Coturnix japonica: one gene and its partner. The protein of the gene in region 2 binds, or shares a complex with, the protein of the main gene of each other region. Links are inferred from orthologs where the notes say so. Each region holds a gene or a part of one and is shown on either strand. Other genes may lie near its edges.

Region 1 (2,746 bases), on a different chromosome or scaffold from region 2:
TTTGTGGTCCATGCTCTGACCTTCGGTTAATTTCCGATGTATTTACAAACACACAAAGCCACCTAATTTTACTAGTATCAATAGAGAAGTAATTCAGGATGTTACTTTTATGTCAAGTTCTGAAAGAAAAGGAAAGCTCCCTGAATAACTCTGACCAAAGCCTTAAGTGACAACTTGAAACTGAAGTTCTCCAATATGTCCCATGTAAAAACTGGATAAGGAAAAAAGCACAAGAGCAGCAGTCCGGACTTTCAGAAGTGTCTCCCTCAAGTTCTTAGGTCTGATTTTTTAGTTCTTTTTTTTTTTTGTATCCAGCTTTTGGAGCAGGAGAATTCACATGCAACAATGAATAATTAGAGAAGCCTGAACGTCATTTTTATTCTGTTTCTTTAAAAAGGTTTTTATTCTGTTTTCTGAGGCTTATTTTAAATAAATGAACATAATTAAAAAAAAAACAACAAAACACAACCAGTACAAAAAGCGAAGACTCTAATCATGATATTTTAGTATAAATGTTCTGCTTAGTTAACTAAAAGAATTCAGTGACAACATTGGTCGAATGCAATGATTCACGTGGTCATACTTAAATCTAATCTAAACCAAAGGTACCATTATCTAAATTCCTGATACCAGTAAACACCACCACTATATTTTGTTTACTACTCTTTCAGTATCTCCGATAACCTCCACCTCCTCTTCCACCATACGGATCTCCATAACCCCCTCTGCCACCATAACCACCCCTGCCACCATAGTCCCCCCTGCCGCCTTGGAAACCACCTCCACCTCTTCCACCGCCCCTGAAACCCCCACCCCCACCTCCAAAGCCACCCCCACCCCCACCCCCAAAGCCACCCCCACCACCTCCTCTACCCCCTCCACCACCCCAGCCGCCCCTCCCTCCACCACCTCCACCTCCCCAGCCACCTCTTCCACCACCCTCCTGTCTTTTTTGCCACGGAGGCATTTCAGGAGGAGGTGGTTCAATCTCTGTTGGTCTGCCTCCACGGTCAGGTACTCTCCCCATCAGAACCTATATTGAAAAATAAAGGGATATAATAACTTGAAAGGACAGAGGCTAATTCTCTTACAGACAAAGACATGCTGTCTGCATGTCACCCATCTTTCCTTTTATCATATCCCAGAAAGAAAAGCTACCTTGTTGATTGCGCAAACTGTATTTTCTCTTGTTGATCCACTACTTGTTCTTATGATCTTTGATAAATCCTCTCGAGCGGCAAGAAGGTGAGCTAATGTTACTGTTGACTTTGGAGACAATGCATAGCGCTTGGGCTGATAGATTCGTGCTATGTCATCCGTTTTTACCTAATGATAAAAATCAAACATAACTTACTAGACATAAACACACTTACTGTATGTAGGCTGTAAAACACACTGTACAGGTCTCAGTAAGTTGCAGTGGTTGTAATGTCTGTAAAACTGGGTTACCTTACAAAACGTGGTGCCAGCTGTCACCAATTCTCTTCATATGGTGACGTACAAAATATGCTGCTAAGACTCAGCACAGTTAAAAGAGATTCTTCTATCCACTGACAGCAAACTTTCTTTGATGCTTTACAAGATATCTAAGACTAAAATTTAGACTCCCTGCTGTAAGGGAGGAAGGCAAGAGAGTAACCGAATTAAAAATGGAAAATAACTTGCTTGCTGGCTTAAAAAAACCATCAATACCAAAACATTTTGCATCCCAAAAGCTTTTTTGGAGAAGTTCTAAACAAGTGTTCTACAAAAAAACTGAGGGGAAAATGAGTTTACAGTCATTGCAATTATCTCGCTGACCTTGTAGGTTATCTATGTTAAGGCCCAGTGTTTGGCTTCCTCTTGCATTTCTAAGAGAAATGTTGAGGATTCCTCTTACTTCACTTCACTGGGGGCAGGTGGATATAGGGAAGAAAAAGGGAGGTGTGGACTTAGAGTGAAAAACCTCAGCAGAGGATGCTTGAATTTCTATTTTTGGAGCTACAGACACTCGCTCACAAAAGATGGCCTGTGCCACAAATTCTTCCCCTTCCACACCATCTAGCAGTCAGATATTACAACCCAGAATGAGAAACTGCTTGAAAAGTAGACAGCAATAATGGAATTGTATTTACATAGTAGGTACATTTGCTAAGAAGACCTGCAGAATTGTAGCAGACTCCCATCTACAGGAAGCAAAGAACGCAGCAAGCTCACCTTTGCTCTGTCAGACCAGCCAAAAGACTGCACTGTCACATCTAGCCTCTTCATTAACATACGACGGCGACACTCGTATTCACTGCGAAGAGCATCATTGATTTTTTCCAATCTTTCCTGTAGTGTTACAGTACAAAAACCCAAATGTTCAGTTCTATACAGGTCAAGTATAAGTCATACAAGTCAAATGAAAGTGCACAGAATCATAGAATTACCTAGGTTGGAAAAGACCTTGAAGATCATTAGGTCCAACCACAGCCTAACCATAGTACCCTAACTCTAACAACCCTGAGCACCACATCCAAACGGCTCTTAAACACATCCAGGGACGGCGACTCAACCACCTCCCTGGAGAGCCTATTCCAATACTTAACTACCCCTTCTGTAAAAGAAGTGTTTCCTAATATCCAACCTAAACTTGCCATGGCACAACTTGAGGCCATTTCCCCTCTTCCTGTCAGTTCTCACCAGTGACAAGAGACCTGCCCCACTCTCACTGTAAGCACCTTTCAGGTACTGGAAGAGGGCGATAAGGTCTCCCCTCGGCCTC
Region 2 (4,001 bases):
TACTATAAGATTCAGATCACTGATCCTTAGTTTAATTATAATTAACTACTACAAAACTACATCAGAAGACTCAGAGGATTTTGGTACATTCCACTAATAGGGTTCCCACAGCTCCACTATGAGAAGTCAGTGCAGTTTTTACCTTCTGCTTCTACTTCGACAGTGTCCAGAGGCTCCACAGTCCCTGTATCAGTCATGTACCCAAACATGGCCATGACGCACTGCTCAAAGGCTTCTTCCAAAGTGTCTCCCCATGCGTGCAGCCTAGAGAGACACGGGGTAACTCACTGCTCTGTAACCATAAAACCCCAATGTACTACGCAGGCGAGAAATACGAATGTAAGAACAAATGCAAAGGAGGTCATTGCACAGAAATGCTTGTCTGAGCTTACATGTATGGGGAGATTATGGAGATTTTTCTTCCTACAGGATGTGAGAAGTATTTCTTAGGAGAAAAAGGAAAATTCTTATTTCACCAGACAAGAGGAATGCCCTTTGTAATGTAAATGGGTGTCTATGACGGAGTGCTGCTGAGATGAAACGCGCTGTAAGGGCAGGAGTTGACTAGATTTCCAATAACAGAGGCTTAAGCACCACAAGAATAGTGCATCAGAAATACACTGTGTGGCCCCGTGCACCCCCAGCAGTGGGAGCAGCCCAGACTTACTGCACGTCAGCTGTGTGATCCAGATCTGGGGAGGGAAAGAAAAGAAAGGCACAGCATCAGCAAATAGAACTTCAAAAGAGGATTAGAAGTGTTGGATATCAATGTTATAACAATGACTTAAACTTGAGACATAAAACTGCGTGTCTATTTTCTAGTACCATAGAAACAACAGCACAGATGAAATCTTGGATTATTTCTGCTCAGCAGAAGCCCCCACACGTACAGCACTGTGTGTGGTTACCGTAATGCAACAGGCTCTGCAGGTTAACTGCAGTGAAAGCCTTTAACCAGGCTTAACATCCCAAGTGTGTGTCAAGTTTTACACAAACACCATTTACATTCCTTTAGAGGAACCAGAGAAATGCAAAATAAAGCCATAGTGTTAGAGACAGCCACCCTGGGACATAGAGCACAGTGTGCCCTGCAACTGCTGCAGCTGGAGGTTCATTGTGAGGCTGCTCAGAGCTCACACACATGAACTGCTCCTCAACAACTGTCACTAAAGCAAACAAATTCCAGTGAATATAAGAGAAAACCTTTGCCAATTATGGAAACAACGTTAATGGTTGTAATGTGTCACCGTGCTCCTGCTCCGTCCCTCCAACAGACACACACTCTGCTGTGCCCAAGGCAGCCCTTGTGCTGACAGCCACTTAGAAGGCACTTGGGGCAGAGAAGGAGCTGTGTGCAATAACAGCAATTGCAGTTATCTCCGCTCTATTATCCAACGCCAGATGCATCCCACAGCCTGAACACAGACACTGGCACAGTACGAAACCCCACAAGCACCTAAAGAGCTCCTCCCATTTCCCTCTTACACACACACACACACACACACAGTGTATCAGTGTCACTCACATTCGTACTTCTTGGTGAGCGGTGGGTACTTGGCCTTCACAGCCTTCTGCTCCTCCGTCAGGTTGTAGTCCCGCTCCTCGCCTGCCATCGCTGCGCTCACTTCCTGCTCACACTGAACATGGCCACTGCCACTGCAGGGTGTTGCTGGGCTGGACAGGAGAGCTGCTTCCAGCTGGGGCTCTCAGCAGCAGCCGATGGGGAGCAGCTGCACACAGGCTGTGCATGAAAACAAGATTAGAAGCACAGAGTTCAGTGCTGTGCTGCTCACACTGCCGGCACACAGCAGTGACACCCAGCACCGCACCGACAGCGAGCACTGACAGTGTGCAATGCACCAACAGTGTGCACTGAGAGCATGCACCAACAGTGTGCACTGACAGTGTGCAATGCACCAACAGTGTGCACCGAGAGCATGCACCAACAGTGTGCCCTTCAGCCTCTGCAGGGAGGAACCCTGATCCTTCCGTGTGAATCACCCTCCAGCAATAAAATACTGCATCTACGAGGACATAATTCTACCAGCTCTACAGTAAGTTACACGGGTAACTTTGGCTTTGGAGCTTCACTGCACAGGGTACACAGCCTGCTGTGTGTCATGGCACATGATGGGGCACAGCACATTGTTATGGGGCACAGCACCTTATGGGGCACAGCACGTTATGGGGCACAGCACGTTGTGATGGGGCACAGCATGTCGTTATGGGGCACAGCACATTATTATGGGGCACAGCACATTATTATGGGGCACAGCACATCGTTATGGAGCACTTCAATCCCACCCAGTGGATCCCACCAGTCGGTTCCACACCGACTCTCCCTCGCAAACACATCAGACCGGCTGCAGCGCCCCATTAACTTCAGGGTAATTATTTCCCGACATCCCACGTGAGTCCACCGTGGCTTTTCCCATAGGAGCAGCTCTCACTGCCGGCCATGGGACGATCCCACACGGGATCTCCGGGTTCTGTTCGCAGATCAGCACCGAGACCTGCGAGCTGGGAAACGCTCCTGGGAGGGAATAAGGCCGAAAGAGCACAGGGCTGAGTGTGAACGGAGCCACAAACCGGGAACGGGGCGGGTCACAGAGACCCATTAAGCGACCGGTAACCGGTAGGACAGAGCTCAGGGGCAGCTCGGGGCCGGCTCACGGTGCCATCCTGCAGACCCCCCCCCCCCCCGCGCAGACCGCACTCACCGGGGCACTGTCCCTTTAAGAGCCGCCCACCCGCTCCGTCCGGAAATGGCTCCGCGGAAATGGCCGCCCTCACACGTGACCGCCGAGCGCGCTCTCCTGCCCCTCGTTCCCGCCCCTTGCCTCTCTCCGATTGGCGGAAGCCTCCCGGCGGCGGGCGGGGATTGGTCAGTGTTGGCGCGCGAAGGGGTGCGCGGCGCGGGAGCGGCAGGGAGCGGGGGCAGGAAACAATAGAGCCGCGTCCGGAGCGGAGCCAGCAGCGCCCGCCTCGCGCAGCGCAGCCTCATCCCGCCGCCCACAATGGCGGACAAGGAAGGTAAGGCCCGGCGGCGCGGCCTGGGCGCTGCGGCCTTCACTCGGCTCCGAGAGGCCTCAGGCCTCACTGCCCGCCCCCCCCGCCTCCATCGGCCGGCGCCGTGCGCAGTGATGGCGGGGGGGCTCCGGCAGGGGGCGCTGGGCCGTGCCCTGGGGCGGGGGGCGTCCCGTGCGGCCTGCGGGGCGCTGGGGGAAACAGCAGGGACCGGCCTGTTACAACGGGTTACAACGGGTCGCTACGTTGACACTGCGAGGGGCTGCGGGCGGGGGGGGCGGCGTGTCCCGCAGCAACGTTGGGTGATAAACAGCTGCGTGTGGTGGGGCCCGTTATTGAGTGAGGGCCCCGTTATTGAGTGCTCCATTATTGAGTGCCCCGTTATTGAGTGCCCACCCATCTCTGTGTGTGTTGTGCCTGTCCTGATAAACGCTAACATCCCGCATTGCTTTCATGAACCCTTCAGCAGCCTTTGATGACGCAGTGGAAGAACGTGTGATCAACGAGGAGTATAAGATATGGAAGAAGAACACACCCTTCTTATATGACTTGGTAATGACCCACGCTCTGGAGTGGCCCAGCCTGACTGCGCAGTGGCTCCCCGATGTGACGAGGTGAGGGTGCGTTCTGGATGTACTCCTTGCAGAAGTAAGGCTCCGTGTGACTCCTTGTCTCGTCTGCAAACCCCAGAGACACCTTTAATGTGGGGAAAGTGCTGCTTATCACCAAGAAAATGCTTCACGTCTTTGATTTTGATGCTTTTCTTCTTCCAGCTTCGTTCTCCTTTTTGAAATGCAAAGCCCTCCTCCCCACAGAGAACTAAATATAGTTTCACTTTAAGCACTCTTTCATCCTAATCTTCCACAACATTCTGCTTCCAAAGAGTGTATATGCATCTCCAACTGTGCGCTGGGGAGGCTGTTAGAGTCTCTTAAAGGAAGGCAGGGGAACTGCTGGAGGTATCTGGGGGTAGG

Evidence for each region. Proteins that work in one complex are often made in the same cells at the same time.
Region 1: ZBTB8OS (region 2) and FAM98B share a complex: the UniProt entries of both Homo sapiens proteins name them as parts of the tRNA-splicing ligase complex. The link is inferred for Coturnix japonica from reciprocal best matches to the Homo sapiens genes ZBTB8OS and FAM98B.

Annotation. Positions count from the first base shown.
Region 1 is NC_029520.1:25,938,904-25,941,649, reverse strand, and holds part of FAM98B (protein FAM98B), read right to left. Parts: intron 2,314-2,746; coding exon 2,197-2,313; intron 1,327-2,196; coding exon 1,159-1,326; intron 1,034-1,158; coding exon 668-1,033; 3' UTR 1-667. UniProt on the Homo sapiens protein: Positively stimulates PRMT1-induced protein arginine dimethylated arginine methylation.
Region 2 is NC_029538.1:4,585,713-4,589,713, forward strand, and holds the start of ZBTB8OS (protein archease), read right to left. Parts: upstream 2,801-4,001; 5' UTR 2,721-2,800; intron 1,742-2,720; 5' UTR 1,614-1,741; coding exon 1,526-1,613; intron 693-1,525; coding exon 668-692; intron 265-667; coding exon 143-264; intron 1-142. Other genes in the region: histone-binding protein RBBP4, read left to right, coding at 3,018-3,033, 3,494-3,641. UniProt on the Homo sapiens protein: Component of the tRNA-splicing ligase complex required to facilitate the enzymatic turnover of catalytic subunit RTCB. Together with DDX1, acts by facilitating the guanylylation of RTCB, a key intermediate step in tRNA ligation.